Linked DNA regions of Stegostoma tigrinum. The protein of the gene in region 1 purifies or fractionates together with the protein of each later gene. This does not show direct contact. Links are inferred from orthologs where the notes say so. Each region holds a gene or a part of one and is shown in the gene's direction. Other genes may lie near its edges. The genes, in order: usp10 and sirt6.

Region 1 (10,229 bases):
ATAAGTCTTGTGGTTGGTTCAGATGTGTTCTTAATGTAAGGTAGTGTGATGAGTGTGTTGGGGCGTGAAGTACCTTCCTGGTGTTCATGTAATAGGCATCTTCTGACCCAGTTTTTCGGGTATCCGTTGTCTTTGAATACTTGGAAGAGGTACTCATCATCTTGGCATAGTTCTGTGTTGCCGCAGTGTGTTGTTGCCATTTAGAAAGTGTTCTCACGCAACTTTGTGTGTGTTAGGGTGGTTGCTATTGAAATGCAGTACTTGGTCATAGTGTGTGGCTTTCCTGTATATTTTTGTTAGGAATTCTGCGTTCCACCATGACATCCAGGAATGGGAGCTGTTTGTTTTTTCCTCTTCCTTCGTGAATCTGATCCCAGTGAGGGAGTTGTTTATTAGTTCCCGTGTCTTCTCTAGTTCGGTCTGTTCAATAATGACGAAGGTGTCGCATATATCATATCCATAGTTATGGTAGGATTAGCAGAAGAGCCATGCTTTCAAGTTTCTGCATCACTGCTTCAGCTGTTAGTCTGGAAATAGGTGATCCCATGGGTGTCCCGTTGATCTGGTTATATATTTGGCCATTAAAGGTAAAGTGGGTAGTGAGGCATAGGTGCGGTAGTTCCAGCAAGTTGTCTGTGGAGATGGTGTCACTCAGGTGTTGTTCTTGTCTTCGTGGTGTTGCTAGTGTTTCTCTTAGTATGTCTATTGATGTGAATAGGGCAGTAACGTCAAAAGATACCATGGTCTCATTGTTGTCTATTCTGATGTCCTTGATGGAATTGGGGGACTCTTGGGCGGAGTGGATTGCTTGGGGTGACTTGCTGACAAGGTGCTTTAGTCTCCTTTGTAACTCTTTGGCTAGTCTATGTGACGGCATGCCTGGCAGGAAGACTATTAGTCTGAGGGGTACTTCCGGTTTGTATGCCCTTGGGAGGCCGTAGAATCGGGGAGTGTTAGTTCCCTCAGGTTTCATTCTTAGATGGCTTTTACATTGCGATAAGAATGGGGGAAAAAATGAGGAACGACGTTGCAGACTGTCAAGAAAAAATAAATATGTAGTTTAATGGTGATGATACATTTGTGGACTTTAAAGAGGAAGGGGAAGTTGGAGGTGAGGATTGTCAAAGGAGATGGAAAGGTTCACAATTGGCTGCTTTAAGAAAAGAAGTGCAGTGTATGTTTAGTCTGAAAGTGGTGACAAGTTAAAACAAGCACTTCCCAAAAAATAGGATTCAGGCCTAGTAATATGTATTTGCCTTTTGTTAATACTTTTCAAATCCTCTGGAAATGTCAACTGCTTAACAACCTACATATTACTCTTATTTTGCATTCCCTGTCAGATTGGAATCTGATTGGATTGTAAGTAAGGTTTAATCATGCAGTAACTGTGATCACATAACATAACAGCTATTGGCATGAGTTTGGCCTAAAGTGTGAAAATGTTATTAAATTGATCGTTATAAAGTTTGGACCTAGTTTGGCTGAGCATTTTCCCTGTCTTTTATGGTCAGCTGCTGTTATGTGAGTAGCTCCAAGAAAGTGAAAGCCAGCCATAAATAGAGGGTATCCTGGCTCAAACCACAAATGAGAGTTGTGAACCCTGCAGTCTTTCTTTCCAGGTTACTAGCAGCAATATTTGAGAGATTAACCTTGGTGCATTCATGACCTATCTTTGGGAAAGCATCTAGGACCAGAGGACATAATGTCAGAGTAAGGAGTTCCCCAGTTAGGAAACAAAGACAGAACTTCTATCGATGGGTAGTGGATGTCTAGAATTCTTTTTCGCAGAGGGCAATTGAGGCTAAGTATATTCAATGCTGTCATTGTGGATACAAAATCCTACTTTCACTTTGAGAATAACTACCATTGTGTTGTGTGGCACTATCACTGTGCTAAATGGGACAGATTTTGCACAGATGTAGAGCAACTCAAGACTGGGCATCCATGAGGCACTGTGGGCCATCAACAGCGGCAGAACTGTACCGCATCAAAATTTGTAACCTCATGGCATGGCATATGTCCCATTCAACCATTACCATCAAGCCAGGGGATCAACCCTGAGTCAACAGAGAGTCAAGGACGGTATACCAGGAGCAGAACCAGGCGTACCTAAAGATGAAATGTAAACCTGGGGAAGCCAACAGACAGGACTACTTGCATGCCAAACAGCATAAGCATCAAATGATAGACAGCGCTAAGTGATTCCACAGCTAATGGATTATATCTAAGCTCTGTAATCCTACAACTGTGAATAGCGGTAGAGAATTAAATAACTCACTAGAGGAGTTGACTCCACAAGTATCCCCATCCTCATTGGTGGAAGAGCACAGCACATCAGTGCAAAACATAAGGCTGAAGCTTTCACAGCAATCTTAAGCCAGAAGTGCCGAGTGGATGATCTCTGTCAGCCTCCTCCAGTGGTCCCCAGCATTTCAGACGTCAGGCTTTAGCCAATTCGATTGACTCCACCTGATAGTCAAGAAATGGTTGGAGACACTGGATACTGTAAAGGTTTACAAGCCCTGAAAACATTCCAGCAATAGTACTGAAGACTTGTGCTCTAGAGCTTGCCGCTCCCCTAGCCAAGTTGTTGCAATACAGTTACAACACAGGTATCTACCCGACAATGTGGAAAATTGCCCAAGTGCATCCTGTGCATAAAAAGCAGGACAAATCCAACCCTACCAGTTACTGCGCCATCAGTCTCCTCTCAATCATCAGTAAAGTGATGGATGGTGTCATCAACAGTGCTAGCAAGTAGCACCTGCTCAGCTATAATCTTTCCAGTTTGGGTTTGGCCAGGGCCACTCAGCTCCTGACCTTGTTACAGCTTTGGTTCAAACATGGAAAGAAGCACTGAATTCCAGAGATGAGGAGAGTTTTAAAGCCCTTGACATCAAGGTTGTATTTGATCAAGTGTGGCATCAAGGACCCCTAGCAAAACTGGAATCACTGGGAATTTAGGCCAAACTCTCCACTTGTTAGAGTTATACCTGACACATAGTAAGATAGTCATGGTCGTTGAGGTCAGTCATCTCAGTACCAGGACATCTCTGCAAGAGTTCCTCAGGGTAGTGTCCTAGGCCCAACCATCTTCAGCTGCTTCATCAATGACCTTGTCTCTATCATAATGTCAGAAGTGGGGATTTTTGCTGATGATTGCACAGTTCAGCACCATTTCAGACTCCTCAGATACTGAAGCAGTCCATGTTCACATGCAACAAGATCTTGACAATATCCAGGTTTGAGCTGACAAGTGGCAAGTAACATTCGTGCCACAAAAATGCCAGTCTATGGGCTTCACCAATAAGAGACAATCTGTTCACCTCCTTTGACATTCAGTGTGTTACCGTTACTGAATTCCCCATGTCACATCCTGGGGGTTATCATTGACCAGAAACTCAACTGGACTCACCATGTGAATACAGTGGCTACAAGAACAGGTCAGAGGCTTGGAATACTGTGACAATGTACACACCTCCTCATTCCCCCAAACCCTGTCACTATCTAAAGGCACAAGTCAGGAGTATGATGGTAAATGCCCCACTTGCCTGGATGATTGCAGCCCCAACAATACACAAGGAGCTTGACATCATCCAGGACAAGGCAGCCTGCTTAATTAGCACTATATCCGCAAGCTTACAGTTCCTCTACCATTGACACTCAATAGCAGAAGTGTGTACTATTTACAGAAACTCACCACATAGCGTCAGGTACACACGTTCTAAACCCATGACCATTTCCATCTAGAAGGACAAGAGCAGCAGATATATCAGAACCACCACCTTTAATTTCCTCACTAAACCACTCACCACTCTGACCTGGAAATATATCGCTGTTCCTTAACTTTTGATGGAATTCCCTCCCTAATGACATTATGTCAACCCACAGTGGTTGGATGGCAGCTCACCACCACCTTTTTAAGAGCAACTATCTCTGTAGTAGTTGATAGGTTATTTTAGGTTGGGGAAAGATTTGTAGAAAAAGGTCTCCTGCGTCAGGGTCGGGATCCATGCTGAAATAAATTATTGATCTAGACCCCACTGTGCAGAGGTAGATAGATTTTGCAGAGCACAATTCCAAAACAAATTACACAAAACTTGGAAATATTGTAAACTATGAAGAAGATGGAGTAGAACTTCAAAAGGAAATAAATAGTGGATTGGGCAGACAGGTGGCACATGAAGCTCAATGAAAAGAAGCACAAAGTGTCTCAGTTTGACAGGAAAAAAATGGAGATGATATGATATAAAAAGGTACCATCCTAAAAGGGTGCATGTGTAGTTGATATGATTGAAGGTGGCAGGATAGTACTAAAGAATGATTAATATATCTATGAAGTATCATAGACTTTATTAGCATGGTCATAGAGTGTGAGAGCAAGGAGTACATTCAATTATTTGAACAAGCCATAGGCCCCTCAAGCATGCTTTGCCATTTAATACCTGATTTGATATTAATTTTTATACACAAATGTAAAGCACTGATTTGGCCTTAACTGTCCAGTTCTGGATTCTACACGTCGGCCAAAAACAAAGGCATTTGAGATTGTGCAGAAAAATAATTCATAAGGTTGGTTTCAGCAACTTTAAGTTCCGAAGCAGATTGGAGATGCCCCGTCAGTTTTTCTTGGAGAAAGGAAGCCTAAGAGTAGTTTTTTTTTTGGATTAATTTGTGGGACGTGGGCATCACTGTCTGGCCAGCATTTATTGCCTGCTCTTCTGATGCTGCTTGGCCTGCTGTGTTCATCTAGCTCTACACCTTGTTTTCTCTATCAATTACTACTCTTGGTTTCGTGTCAGTCAGCCAATTTTGTACCTGTGTTTTAGTATCCATTTATTCAATGGGCTATGACCTTGTCCACAAGTCTATTGTGCAGCATTTTATCAAAGACTTTTAGCATGTCACTCATTAACTCTGTCTGTCATCTCTTCAAAGAATACAGCAAATTTATTGAACACATTCAGTGAACAATTCTGTCCGAGATTCCTTCATTACTCACATTTGTCCAAATTATTGGTTATTTTGATAGCATGACAGATTCGTGCTATCAAGTGGTAATGTTGTGGAGGTGCAGTTTTTCTGAAAAGACATCAAATTAAGGCTCTCAGATAACATGGTGTAGAGCTGGATGAACACAGCAGGCCAAACAGCATCAGCGGAGCAGGAAGGCTGATGTTTCAGGCCTTGACTGTTCTTCAGAAAACGTCTGCTTGCATGGTTGTATGTAAAGGTCCCGGAAGCAGTATTTCAAACTGAAGTATCTTAGAATAAAAGATTCTGAAGAAGAGTCAGTTCAGATTTGAAGCAGTAACCCTGTCTCTACAGACGCCGTCAGACCTGCTGTTTCTTGCACGTTTCAGTGGCGATATATATTCTAATGACCCAGTTCAGGGATGTTATTACACACATGTGGTGCAGGAGGATTTGAACTCAGGGCTACTGGACCAGAGGTATGATATGAAGGTGCTAGTGTTGGACTGGGGTGGACAAGGCCAGAAGTCACATGACACCAGGTTACAGTCCAAGTTTATTTGAAATCACTAACTTTCAGAGCAAAACCCCTCAGGTGAACTAAAGACTTCTGATTTGGACCACAGGTACGAATGCTACTACTGTGTCCCAACAGCCCTTCTTATGTTTCAGCATAAATATTCATTCCTGAAACAACATCACAAAATATATATTCGCGAGTTATTATCTCGCTGTTAGTTTTGAGGTTGATGAGCACAAATTGGTTTGTCACTTTCACTAAATTGGAACCCTGGCCGACACCTGAAAACTCATGAGTTTCAAAATGACCTGAAAACAATCCGTCCTGAACTAAAATCGAATTATTGCACACCTCAACGAAGATCAGAAGCAAAATCCAAAATAAAACTAGACACCACTTGAAAATTGAATTGCTCTTTTAAACAGAAAACTATTAGGCGGCATTTCCTCCACCCTTGTTGCAAGCTGACCAATAGGCACGGAGAAAAGATCAAGTGGGGTTGGTTATAGCCAATCGTTGAGCAAGGGGTTCGCCGGCCGCGCGCGATTTGTCCAATCAGGAGGCCACTATTCGCCTGACTGGTAAGCCATTGGCTGGACGGCGGCATCCGCGAGCGGACCAACAGGACGGCGAATACGAAGCTAGTAGACCAATAGGAGAGCGTGAAGGTGGCAGACCAATGGAAGAATATCGTTGCTGCCGACGGACCAATGGAGAAGGAGACGCGGGTCATAGGGACGAATGGGGGAAAGCTGAACAGTCAGACCAATAGGAGAGCGCAGAGGTGTTGGACCAATGGGAGGGCAACGGTTGGGGGCGGGTGTCTCGGGGAGGTGCCAGGGACACGGGCGCGCAGGCGCACGGCCTCTGGCGGAGCAGACAACATGGCGGCAAACGGGGAAGCATGAGTTATCTCATTCAAAAGCAGCAAAATGGCTAGCAACAATATAAAGGTGAGGAAAGTCGGGGATGGCAGGGCAGCGGCGGACGAGCATCGGGGACTGGGCGGAGAATGAAGCGACCTTGCGGTTGAGGGGGATTTAAGATGAGAGATTTCGTTCCCTGTCGAGGATGAGGCGGTGGTAGCGCGGGGGGAGGGTGGGGGGAGGCGGAGAAGGCAAGAGAATCCATGAGGTTTAGGCCCCAGGGTATTTTCCTCAGCCTGACTACTTGCGGTCGCAGAGTTTTAGCCCAGGGCCCCACACGATGCTATCAGGTTGTCGACTACCCGAAGGATATATCTCGTTAATGAGACACGCCCGCCCTGGTGCCTCACGTTTCGCTTTGCCTGGATCTGAAATGCGCCGCGGCCCTGTTACAGGCCATCTTCCATAGTTCGGCTGCATTCCAAATTGTTCGGTTCAGCAAGAAAACATTAAAAGAGATGAGCGGTGGGGGAGGGGCGCATGATGATTCATTCCACCTTGGACTCTGTGTCCCCTGCAGTTAACCTGGAAGGGATTCTCTTGGACGGCAGGGTATATCCTTGAGTTTTATCACAGCAAATTGGGTGGAAAAATGCTTCAAGATCCACTTGTGAACATGTACTTTTATCAGTCGGGAATGGTGGAAGTGGATTCTGACCATTTTATTTTGGGGGTGGGGGTGCCCCTGTTTTGCACGTGTTCTGAACGAAATCCCTTGGTTTCTGCCTATGCTACAGTATACACATCACACCTTAGATTTTAGTCTCACTAATTATATAGTTCAACCTGTATGCCTGATCAAACTTGTGGCACACTTTAACATCTAGAAAGTTTTGTAACGGCGTTGAGTGGGATTTGAACAGTTCATCTTGGTTTATTCAAATAAATCACACGTGTGGATAAGCTGCCAATTATGTTGTAATGTTTAACATAAAATCTGACGAGCATTTTCTTTCTTTGTATGTCATTATTAGAACAATGAGTCTACAAATTTAACTTAAATTTTAAAAAGCCCTTAAATTCAGAATTGTCAGCTGAATTACCAAAATCATGAGTGCAGAAACAATTTACTGAACATATTAAATGTTGCAAACATAGATTTTGGTGTTTTGCTTTCAACTGTACTTTTAAAAGTTGCTTGCTTTATGAAGCTTTTTGGTATTTGAACTTTTTAGCTGCTTGCACTTTGGACTGCTTTCTGGCTGTTAAATTTTAAGTTTTAGTTATTCGTACAGAACATTTCAAAAAAATTTAGTCGGGTGAGCTGGGTAGTTGTCGGGAGCTGATACATATTGGATCAAATAACCTCCCTCTGTACAATAAATTTCTGTAATTCTAAAAAAGTCATGCTGAATTTTTGGAGAAAATTTAGAACTGAAATTCATCAGTGCGAATATGCATACTGTTTGATCTTTTGCTGTGCCATTTGGTCATTCCAATTCTCTGTATACACCAAGATTTTGCTCTGGGCTAATATCTTTGTGCGTTCGGCCACATGGTGTAAAGGGGTGACCAAAAGCCAATGAGACCAACACACAGGAGGGGTGGGGGGATAAAAAGCCACAATCTGACACAGCTGACTTCACCCATCTGTAGGTGAAGAAAGGAGGGTGCTGGTAAACCCAAACATGAGAATGGGGTGTTGTCGAGCCTATGGCTTCACAAGAGCGTGCCCAAGTCAAGGAAGAATATCTGCAGGCAAAGACATTATTGCATCAAACAGTATGGACCACCACCTTAAATAGCTGCCATGGATAGTTCGATCAGTATGACAGCTCATTCTGCCAGGAACTGCACGGTTTTGAATTGGTCTTGATAGATTAATTTATAATGTCTGCTTTATGAACAAATCCATTGGTTGAAAAGGACTCTATTTTGGCTCTTGTTTGAATTTAAAGCACTTACAAATAGTTCAACACAAATAAATAAATTCTAACCAGTCTGGATTTTTAGCTGTAAGGGGACGGGCTGAAATGAGAGAGCTGATAATTATTAGCCTGAAGATCTCACTAATCATTCCCACTACTTATTAATTTCAGTTGTTAGTTATGATTGAACTTACGCATGCAAAATTAATAGTTGAAGATTGGACGTGTCTGTTTGGAGTTTCATCTCTAATATGGTATCAATGATTTTTTGCAATTTTAAAAATACTTTTTTCCAAATATTATTTATTAAAAGTTATTTTCAATTTTAAATGAATTTACTTCATCCAGTTTTGTTTTCATGCAGAAACTGCAGTGCCCAATGAAAATTGACAATCCATAGAAGGGGGACTTTCAAAATCACCTGTACAACACCTAAATATTGCATTTATGCAGCACCTAAAGTGCCATGAGAAATTTCTGCTTACGTTTGTCTTACATAGATTTGTCTTAGATCATTATTGAAAATTATTGCTGTTGCAGCAAACAGTTGTACTTGCAGGCTACATTGTTCAAAACTGAAATTAATTGTAAGGTCTAATTTTGAATATGTATGGCTTTTTTAACGAAAAACTATTTTTATGACACATGCTTTCTAGATTGTTGCCACTGTTTTTGGTTTCTTACTATTTTAACAATCAGCAGATAAATTGACATTACAGATCTACCCTAGATTATAGTATTTGGTACAGATGAAATGACAGTCCCTCCAATTTAAAACTTCTGGCGCAAATGTATATAGGAAGCATATGTATAAACGTGAAGCTGACGACAATTCTGGTATCCAAATGCACAGTTAGTGTGATTATCCAGCAGTTTTTGTCACTGATTCCCTGCTCTTCTATTCTGGCAGATTGCAATTTTTAGAAGCCAGTTGAACAGATATAAAGTTTCTTTTCTGTGCAGTAATATTGTTATTTTTAAAAATCATTCAGTGAAATATGCTTGAGTTTTTAACAGATGACCAAGTCATCATTACTTCTGGATACCTCCTTTCATCCTTGAAAAAACCAAGCTTGTTTGTGAAAGGTCAAATTTCTACATGATAAGTATTGGTTTTGAGTGTTTTAAATCTGCCTTAACTTCTTGCTGACTCTGCATACATCAACGTACTCATTCTGTATGTACCAATCACATATAACATTCTTCAATATGACTGGCTGATTAGTTTGACATCACAGTTGCTAAACTTGCAACCTCTTAGAGTTGGCCCCAGAATGACAGTGACTCCACACAAGGGAGTCACTGCTTCAAGGATAGCGATGGCAGCTGTCATTTCAGCACTGCTTGTTAACTCTGGCTGTAGAATCAGACAGAAGTAGCTACTTGACCTAATTGTCTGAGCGAGCTTCTTGGTAGAATTCTAAAAGTATTTAACCAATTCCCTTTGAAAATTTCAATTTCTACCACCCTGTCTGACTCACAAATAACCTGATATATCATGTAATTGTAAATCTCAGTGCCCTGTTTAGTCACTCTTCTGCCAATGGAATACTTATCCTTTATTTGTAATTAAAAACTGTTAAATGATTTTAAAAACCTGTATCAGATTGCCCCTTAGCCTCCTCTGACGACAAATTGTCTTTTCATGTAACTGAAGATTTTTAAAGTTTCCCCTTTCCTCGCACCCTCCACACAAAATATTTAATCATTTTAGTAAATCTTGTTTTCACACTTTGAGATGACATTCTTTCTGAAGTATCATCCGTAATGAATTATTATGAATGTTTAGTACAGCCTTACCTGTGTGCTCTTCCTCAATTGATAATACCAGCGAGCTCATGCATTTTTAACACTTTATGAACTTATTTTCACTTATACACCTGTCCCTGTGTCTCACCCTTTTTGCAACCTTAAGTTGGTTAATGTAATATATTGATTGTG
Region 2 (10,216 bases), on another chromosome or scaffold:
AAGTTAACAATAATTCATTGTGGGGGACATGAGGCAGTAGCACAATGAATGCTGCCGACTTGGTGACCAGGATATAGAGGTTTTGGCATCTCCAGAGGAACAACCCCAGTCTTTGCCTGCAAGAGTCAAGATCCTGTCCTTGCAGGGGTGGGTTGACGAATAATATAGCACCACCCATCTTCGATGTTTTATCCTGGAATGAGAGTAGAGAGGGATTGAGTGAGATGAAAGTGGTTTGCACGACAGTTAGCACTGGTGTAGGTGAGAAAAAGGTGGTGAGGTGACTGGACTGAGTGAGTTGGAAGTGCATAGGCCATGAGAGATGTTGCAGAGAGAACAGAACTGGTGAGAGAAATTCTGCAGGCCTGGCTGCATCTGGGGAGAGAAAGCCTAACCCTGCTTCAGTCTCTACAGATGCTGCCAGACCTGCTGAGTTTTTCCTGCATTTTCTGTTAATGTTGCTGATTTCCAGCATCTGCAGGTCTTTGTTTTATTTCAGTGACGCTCGAGGTTGGGAGAAGGGAGGGGAGAGTGTGTGAGCAAAGATGCTGCAGGGAATAGTGAGAATGGTGGAGCATGAGCCTTGCTGGGAGCTCAGTGCAGTCACAGAAAGATTGTGAAAGGTCACACAGAGCAGATGGGGGCAATTATCCTGGCTCCTCTGAAGAGTTGATTGACCTTCTTGCTGCATTGCTGGACTGTAAACATTGCACTGACCTAGGTGGCAACCTTGAACCAGGCTGGCAAGGTCTGGTGTCATGGCCTCTTCTGCTGGTCCTGGGTGAACAGGAAATCCAACCTCTGCACCACATTTGGCGGCACGGTGGATCAGTGGCTAGCACTGCAGCCTCACAGCGCCAGGGACCTGGGTTCAATTCCAGACTCGGGTAACTGTCTGTGCGGAGTTTGCACATTCTCCCCGTGTCTGCGTGGGTTTTCTCAGGGTGCTCCAGTTTCCTCCCACAGTCCAAAGATGTGCAGGCTAGGTGGATTGGCCGTGCTAAATTGCCTGTAGTGTTCATGGGTGTGTGGGTTATAGGAGGATGGGTCTGGGTGGGATGCCCCAAGAGGCAGTGTGGACTTGTTGGGCCAAAGGGCACGTTTCCACACTGTAGGGAATATAATCTAATCCTCATTGTCCATTGGGACTTCCAGGTTTCTGTCTACAAAGCAGGGTGCTAGTTTCCCCTTGACTGCCAAGTACAGAGCATGTACATGGTCTTCAACCATGCAGGGCAGCTCTGAACTGCCAAAGTTTGATTGGGTTCACAACAGCCTTTCAAATAGGCACTGGTGCCAGAGATGCCAGGGAATTCTGGTATCAGTGAGTTCTTCCAGCAACATCAAGTGAGAAAGGCAGGCTACTATTGGACAATAGCAGCAGCTTAGGGGCTTGGTTAGGGTTAGGCAAATAACGCGTCATACTTGGGACACGTGCATGGGAAATTTCAGTCGACGCAATGGAGAGAAATGCTCCATGAAAGTCATTGAAAATGACAGTCAACATATGGAAAGATTCAGCCCAAAGTTAACGTTGACAAAAGTCTAACCCTAACTTTCTCTCCGCATAAATGATGATACCTGCTGTGAAGCTCCAGTACTTTCTATTTTTATTTCATATCTCCAACATAACACAGTACTTTGCTTTCAGCCAAATGGGACTAGATTAAGATATCTGATCAGATATCTGGAAGATTTAAACTGAAAAGGGTCTGTTTCTGTGCTATACAATTCTCCGTCTCTGTTAGCTCCTCCCACGGACTGTCACTTGGAGAATCAGTGGGCAATCACACAGACATTCCTCAGTTAACCTCAACTTAGCCTTCTGACATTACTATCACCTTCACTAAACTTAAAGACACAACACATAGGGAAACATTAATTTATTAGACACTGCAGTATTTAAATAACAAAAGACAACACAAATTTAGTTGAAGTTTTTCAAAATAAGTGACACAGTTCTATAGGCAAGAAGCCATTAACCTAACAAACACATTCTGGAGACTGGAGAGGTCACACAATGAGTTTCCATCACAAGCTCGCAAAACTGGAATATTTCAACCAAGCAGTTTCAGTATCACAGATTTAAATTTAATAATTGACATGGTGTTCACTACAATACAGTCCTTGACAATCTTTTTCAGACAGTAACTCCTGTACATATCCAGCCTTGTCGTGGACACTTCATTCATTTGCAAATCATTCATTACCTCAGTGATTTCAAATTTCCCGGGCTCCCAGTTAGCTGTCTGTTCCTTTGTTGACAAGTTTGAAACTGTTCTTCTTTGCAGTCTCTCTCTCTCTGTTTTTACCCTTTCAGACTCACTCATTCTTGCCTGCCTACTTCTCCAGCTCCTCTCTTCCTCTTGCATCCCAATTAATTTCCATTTCTCACCCTCCACCAACCATCCACACTCCTGGCAGCATCTTTGTCCTAAGCACTTCTCACACTATAGCTTCTCCCTCCCATCTCACTTTCAGCCTGCAGGCTCCTCAGCTCTTTCCAGCCCCTTTGGACTACTGCATCTATCCCCATTGTCTCTGCCGACCTCTCCCCAATTACCTGACCTATAGAGATCTCCCCCTCCACACATTGTCCGTCACCTCCCAAACTCCTTTCTCACAGCAACTTGGAATTTTTAAACGCAGATTCATCCACACTCCTGTGTGTTTCGAGCATGTTATAAATTCCAGTCAACACACTTTATGACAGGTGCCAAGTCCGAGGAGAGGTTACAGGAGGGATTTAAGAGAATGGTACCAGGAATAAGGAGCTTCAATTTAATGAAGAGGAGTGGGGTTAATTAATTCAGAGGTGATGATCTGAATGTCTCCTTGCATTCTGCCCCTCTCCTCAGCTCCCCTCAGACCATTCCCTGCCAGTTCATCCCCTACATCGCACTCTCTGTCCATTCTCCCTCGTCAGCCTCCCTCCAGGCCTCCCCAGACCTCTCACCACAGCCCTTCCACTTTCTCTCCATTCCCCTGCCCTCAGACCCATTTCCTCTCTATTCCCACCTCCACTTTCCCCAGCTTCCCGTCTCCTTACTCAGCATCCCCTTCCTCAGACCCTCCCCGGCATTGTACGCCCCCAACTCCGACCCTCCCCAGCATTGCAACGCCCCTCCCCCAACCGTCCCCTAACCCTGCCCACACTGCACCCCCCGTCCCTGACCCTTCCCCTCACTGAGCTCCCCACACCGACCTCCCCAGCATTGCAACCCCCCTCCCCCAACCGTTCTCTGCACTGTGCTCCCATGACTCTCCCCTGCATTACACCTCCCTCCCCAATATTCCCCCACACTGCATCTTCCCCCTCCCTCGATATTCACCAGCATGATCCAGTTCTGCCCCCCTCGACCTTCTCTAGCATTTGTTACCCCCAACCCGACCTTCCCCAACATTGTTCCTCTGCCACGGATCTTCCCCAGCATTGTTCCCCGACCTTCCCCAGCATTGTTCCGCCACCATGAATCTTCCCCAGCATTGTTTCCCCACCATCCAATCTTCCCCGGCATTGTTCGCGCAACATGAACCTTCCCCAGCATGATTACCCACCACCCGACCTTCCCCAGCACTGTTACCCTACCCAACCTTCCTCAGCATTGTTCCCCCACCAAGGACCTTCCCCAGCATTGTTTCCCCACCATGGATCTTCCCCAGCATTGTTACCCCCCCACCCAACCTTCCTCAGCATTGTTCCCCCACCAAGGACCTTCCCCAGCATTGTTCCCCCTCCACCCGACCTTCCCCAGCATTGTTCCCCCTCCACCCGACCTTCCCCAGCATTGTTCCCCCAACACGGACCTTCCCCAGCATTGTTACCCCTCCACCCGACCTTCCCCAGCATTGTTCCCCCAACACGGACCTTCCCCAGCATTGTTACCCCTCCACCCGACCTTCCCCAGCATTGTTCCCCCAACACGGACCTTCCCCAGCATTGATCCCCCAACATGGACCTTCCCAAGCATTGTTCCAACCCCACCTTCCGTAGCATTATGCCCCCCACCCAATCTTCCACAGCATTGGCCTCCACCGACCTTCCTCAGCATTGTTCCCCTCCTCGACCCTCCCCAGCATTGCTCCCCTCAGTTCCGTTGCACCCCCGCTTCCCCAGCACTGTTGACCCCCAGCCTCGTTCACCCCCTGCCCCCCCCCCCAGCCTCGTTCACCCCCTGCCCCCCCCCCCAGCCTCGTTCACCCCCTGCCCCCCCCCCCAGCCTCGTTCACCCCCTGCCCCCCCCCCAGCCTCGTTCACCCCCTGCCCTGCCCCGCCCCCCAGCCTCGTTCACCCCCTGCCCCCCCCCCAGCCTCGTTCACCCCCTGCCCCCCCCCCCAGCCTCGTTCACCCCCTGCCCCCCCCCCCCAGCCTCGTTCACCCCCCAGCCTCGTTCACCCCCTGCCCCCCCCCCCCAGCCTCGTTCACCCCACCCAATCTTCCACAGCATTGGCCTCCACCGACCTTCCTCAGCATTGTTCCCCTCCTCGACCCTCCCCAGCATTGCTCCCCTCAGTTCCGTTGCACCCCCGCTTCCCCAGCACTGTTGACCCCCAGCCTCGTTCACCCCCTGCCCCCCCCCCCAGCCTCGTTCACCCCCTGCCCCCCCCCCCCCGCCTCGTTCACCCCCTGCCCCCCCCCCCCCCCCCGCCTCGTTCACCCCCTGCCCCCCCCCCCCCCCCCCGCCTCGTTCACCCCCTGCCCCCCCCCCCCCCGCCTCGTTCACCCCCTGCCCCCCCCCCCGCCTCGTTCACCCCCTGCCCCCCCCCCCCCCGCCTCGTTCACCCCCTGCCCCCCCCCCCGCCTCGTTCACCCCCTGCCCCCCCCCCCCGCCTCGTTCACCCCCTGCCCCGTTCACCCCCTGCCCCCCCCCCCCGCCTCGTTCACCCCCTGCCCCCCCCCCCCCCCCCGCCTCGTTCACCCCCCCACCCCCCCCGCCTCGTTCACCCCCTGCCCCCCCCCCCCCCCCGCCTCGTTCACCCCCTGCCCCCCCCCCCCCCCCCGCCTCGTTCACCCCCTGCCCCCCCCCCCCCGCCTCGTTCACCCCCTGCCCCCCCCCCCGCCTCGTTCACACCCCCTGCCCCCCCCCCCCCCGCCTCGTTCACCCCCTGCCCCCCCCCCGCCTCGTTCACCCCCTGCCCCCCCCCCCCGCCTCGTTCACCCCCTGCCCCGTTCACCCCCTGCCCCCCCCCCCCCGCCTCGTTCACCCCCTGCCCCCCCCCCCCCCCCCGCCTCGTTCACCCCCTGCCCCCCCCCGCCTCGTTCACCCCCTGCCCCCCCCCCCCCCCCGCCTCGTTCACCCCCCTGCCCCCCCCCCCCCCCCCCCGCCTCGTTCACCCCCTGCCCCCCCCCCCCCCCCCCCCGCCTCGTTCACCCCCTGCCCCCCCCCCCCCCCCCCCGCCTCGTTCACCCCCTGCCCCCCCCCCCCCCCCCCCCGCCTCGTTCACCCCCTGCCCCCCCCCCCCCCCCCGCCTCGTTCACCCCCTGCCCCCCCCCCCCCCCCCCGCCTCGTTCACCCCCTGCCCCCCCCCCCCCCCCCCGCCTCGTTCACCCCCTGCCCCCCCCCCCCCCCCCCCCCCGCCTCGTTCACCCCCTGCCCCCCCCCCCCCGCCCCCCCCGCCTCGTTCACCCCCTGCCCCCCCCCCCCCCCCCCCCGCCTCGTTCACCCCCTGCCCCCCCCCCCCCCCCCCCCCGCCTCGTTCACCCCCTGCCCCCCCCCCCCCCCCCCCGCCTCGTTCACCCCCTGCCCCCCCCCGCCTCGTTCACCCCCTGCCCCCCCCCCAGCCTCGTTCACCCCCTGCCCCCCCCCCAGCCTCGTTCACCCCCTGCCCCCCCCCCAGCCTCGTTCACCCCCTGCCCCCCCCCCAGCCTCGTTCACCCCCTGCCCCCCCCCCAGCCTCGTTCACCCCCTGCCCCCCCCCCAGCCTCGTTCACCCCCTGCCCCCCCCCCAGCCTTGTTCACCCCCTGCCTTTTTCACTCCCCCAGCCTTGTGCACACGCGCATTGCTCCCCCTCATGACCTTCCCCAGCATTGCTTCCCTCCAGCACTGTCACCCCACCCCCAGCACTGTTCTCCTCTCGCTCTCGCACCCAGCACCATCCCCGTTTCTCTGTCCGGTCCCTCCTACTCCATGCCCATTCCGACCTGCGCCTCCCACCCGCCTCTCCTCCCCCGAAGCTACCTATCACCTGTTCTGTAGCGCCCTCTGGCCTCCGGGAGGTCCTGCCTGCACGGCCTGGTGACGTCACGCAGGCCCCTGCCCGGGTTGTTGTGCTGGAGCCATGTCCGTGAACTACGCGGCCGGACTGTCTGAGTACGAACACAAGGGCAAGTGTGGCCTTCCGGAGGTAAGAGGCTGTGCCGCTTAGATGTCGTTGCAGGGGGAAAAGGATTCCGGGCCTGTCCTTGGATAGGCTCGCATCCTGGGGAGGCGCCGGGGTCATGAGACCTCGGCGTCCAGCTCCGGACTGGGGCCTTCGTTAGAGACTGTTTGGCCGGGACCCCCAGAGGAACGGGAAGAGGAGGCGAAGATCAGTGAGGGAGGGCAGGCGGGGATGCGGGAGGGGGTGAAGGAGAAAAGGACCGAGGAGATTCCACTGTGTGGGGACCCTCTTAACGTTGGAGGCGGCCGTGGATTGGGAGAGGGAGGTTGCTAGTGATGGTGGACATCACAGATGTCCCTGTAAGGGTTTGGTTTCATTGCTTTATTAATCTGAAAGAGAACGATCTATGTTACATGGATATATATTCTGGAGTACCAAGAGATTAGCAAATGAAATTAGAGTATGTAGTATTGGGGATGGGTGGGAATAAAATAATTTGGATGGAAAATGGCTTAATAGAAGGCTGAAGAGTAAGCAGAGATAATGGGAACTACAGGTGCTGGAGAATCCAAGATAACAAAGTGTGGAGTTGGATGAACACAGCAGGCCAAGCATATTAAGCAGATGTTCACCTACACAACTGCCAACGTGGTATACTGTATCCACTGTACCCGGTGTGGCTACCTCTACATTGTGGAAACCAAGCGGAGTCTTGGGGACCGCTTTGCAGAACACCTCCGCTCAGTTCGCAATAAATAACTGCACCTCCCAGTTGCAAACCATTTTAACTCCCCCTCCCATTCCTCACACAAAATTTCCATCATGGGGCTCCTGCAGTGCCACAATGATGCCAACCGAAGTTTGCAGGAACAGCAACTCATATTCCGCTTGGGAACCCTGCAGCCGGATGGTATCAATGTTGACTTCACAAGCTTCAAAATCTCCCCCTCCCCGACTGCATCCCGAAACCAGCCCAGCTCGTCCCCTCCCCCCACTGCATCACAAAACCAGCCCAGCTCGTTCCCCGCCTCCCTAACCTGTTCTTCCTCTCACCTACCCCTCCTCTCACTTCAAGCCGCACCTCCATTTCCCATCTACCAATCTCATCCCACCTCCTTGACCTGTCTGTCCTTCCTGGACTGACCTATACCCTCCCCACCTATACTCTCCTCTCCACCTATCTTCTCCTCTATCCATCTTCAGTCTGCCTTCCTCCCCCCTCCCTATTTATTTCAGAACCCTCTCCCCATCCCCCTCTCTGATGAAGGGTCTAGGCCCGAAACGTCAGCTTTTGAGCTCCTAAGGTGCTGCTTGGTCTGCTGTGTTCATCCACACTTTGTTATTTGGATATGGGGACCAGTTTCAATGTTTCCAAATTTGCTCATGATGCTGAATGTAATGAAAATGTAAGTTGTGTGAAGCCTTCAAGGGAATTTCGACAATCTAAGCGAACATGCCAGATGGAATATAGTAGAACTTTATGAAAGTATTGAGTTTGATTGAAAAGCTGAAAGGCAGGATGATCATTATGTGATTGGGAAGGAGTGATCTAGGTATCTTTGGTTACTAAGAGCTAGCATGCTGGTGAAACAAGTATTTTAAAAGCAAATAGAATATTAGTCTTCATAACAAATAAACTTAAGGACAAAAGCAAAGTAAAACTAAAAGAACTGCAGATGCTGTAAATCAGGAACAAAAAGAGAAGTTGTTGGAAGCTCAGCAAGTCTAGCAGCATGTGTGAAGAAAAATGAGAGTCATCGTTTTGGGTCCAGTCTGAGGAAGGGCCACTGGACCCAAAACATTAACAATAGTAAAAATGTCTTCCTGCTATTTTATGGAGCCTTGGCATGTACACACCCTGGTTATTGTGTACAGTTCTGTTTGGCTTTTCTACGTAAAGTAAATCCTTCCTTAGATGTGCAATAGAGGTTAACCTGATTAATTGTTGCAATGGTGGGATTGTTTTATGAAGAGAGCCTGCAGAAACAGGATCTTTAGTCCCTAGAGTTTGAAGGGATGAGAGGTGATTTCTTTCAAATTCACAAAATAAATTACAGGGCACGGCATTGTTGCTATAGAGAGGATGCTCCCTCTGCCTGATGAGTCCAAAATCAGAGGATGTTATCTCAAATAGGGGGCAGGCCAAATAAGATTGAGATGAGGAGCACTTTTTTTTCCACTGACAATGTTGGATCTTTGGAATTCTCTTCCCCAGAGTCATTGAGCAGTTTAAAGCAGAAATCGATTTCTGAAAACTGGCATTGTGTGGAAAAGTAACACCTCTGTAGATAATTGGTCATGATTGAGTTGATTGGCAGAGCAGTCTTAGTTGACTGACTGATCTACTCCTGTTCCTCTGTCACATTTCACTTCTGCACTGCAGTTACATTGCAAAGTAACAATGTATTGGTCGCAGTCCGCTATGGAGAGCAGCAAAAAATGCACTCAGTGAAACACTAGTACTGATCTAAAGTGAGATTATTTTAATTTACTGGCACTGGAATGCATGACATGGTGGCAGTGGTTGTTTGTTAGTGAAAACTGAAATATTTTAAATGAATTTTGTGCTGAATTAATTGGAAGAAGAAGTCATCCTACATTTGTACCAGAGTGTGTGGAAAAACTAAATTGTTGTCAGAAAACGGAATGGCTGTAACAGCAACGATATGGGTGGCATTCAAACTTCAATTAAATGTGCCCCATTTGAAGATGCATCTGAGAAATTTGAACGAAAGTGCAGACTGATATTCAGCACCTCTCTAAAGGCACTAGCAAAAATGAAGGAACCTGCAGGCAGGAGAGAAAGGTTAAATTGTTTAATAGTTGAAGATTGAGGATGACAGCAGAAACCCCAACACAATTTTTTTTAGATTTGGCATGTATTTTTATCCGGAGTCAAAACATTGGATTTATCAGTGTGAATTTAAGGCCCGAGACAGAATCTGATGAGCATACTGACAATTTCCTAACAAAACTGAGGTAGGAGATAGGGATAGCCACAGGAGGCTCCTGCACTATCTCAAACAAGTATGCTGTTTTGGAAAATGTAAGCCGTGATGGACTTTCGAGGGAATGTAGCACTGACAACCAGGTTTCTGGTACTGTGACTGGCTGTAATGTAACAAGGGGTATGCCAGGTTCCAAACGATCAACTGTAACAGGACACGTCTCGTCAGAGGCACAGACAGACGATTCGGTGGCCAACAGCAAGACATCAAAATAGTATGTTGCCTCCCTGGAGCCAGGTTCAAAGATATCTCGGACAGGGTACAGAACGTTCTCCAATGGGAACAGGACTAGCTGGATGTCACTATACACTAACGACATAGGAAGAGAAAAGGATGAGATTTTGAGGAGAGAGTATAGGAGGTTAGGCAGGAATTTTAAAAAGTAGGCCCTTGAGGTTGGTAATTTCTAGATTATACTTGATGCCACAAGCTAATGAGTTTCGGAGTAGGATGTTACAGCAGATGAATGTGTGGCTGAGGAGCTGGTAAAGGGGAGAAGGATTCACATTTTTGGATCATTGGAATGTCTTTTGGGGTAGCAGTGACCTGTTTAAGAAGGATGGATTGCACCTAATTTAGAAGGAGAGATTGGCAGGGAGATTTGCTAGAGCTGCTCGGGAGGATTTGAACTAGTTGGTTGTGATGGGGAGGGACTCGGAGATAATGAGGAAAGAGATCAGTCTGAGACTCTAACAGTTATGAAAAGGAGTAAGTCAAACAGACAAGGCAGAGAGGAACAAAGTAGAGAATGAGGTAGGACTGATAAATTCAACTGCATTTTTCTCAATGCAAGAGGCTTAGCACGTAAGGCAGATTAATTCAGGGCATAGTTAGGAACATAAGACAGATATTATAGAAATTAGAGATGTGCCTCAGAGATGGACAG

Evidence for each region.
Region 2: the proteins of usp10 (region 1) and sirt6 purify together in Homo sapiens (affinity purification with western blotting; 4 studies listed by BioGRID, with this or other methods). This does not show direct contact. The link is inferred for Stegostoma tigrinum from reciprocal best matches to the Homo sapiens genes USP10 and SIRT6.

The regions. Positions count from the first base shown.
Region 1 is NC_081369.1:49,063,161-49,073,389, forward strand, and holds the start of usp10 (ubiquitin carboxyl-terminal hydrolase 10), read left to right. Parts: upstream 1-6,335; 5' UTR 6,336-6,426; coding exon 6,427-6,447; intron 6,448-10,229. UniProt on the Homo sapiens protein: Hydrolase that can remove conjugated ubiquitin from target proteins such as p53/TP53, RPS2/us5, RPS3/us3, RPS10/eS10, BECN1, SNX3 and CFTR.
Region 2 is NC_081383.1:37,837,542-37,847,757, reverse strand, and holds the start of sirt6 (NAD-dependent protein deacetylase sirtuin-6), read left to right. Parts: upstream 1-6,223; 5' UTR 6,224-6,280; coding exon 6,281-6,346; intron 6,347-10,216. UniProt on the Homo sapiens protein: NAD-dependent protein deacetylase, deacylase and mono-ADP-ribosyltransferase that plays an essential role in DNA damage repair, telomere maintenance, metabolic homeostasis, inflammation, tumorigenesis and aging.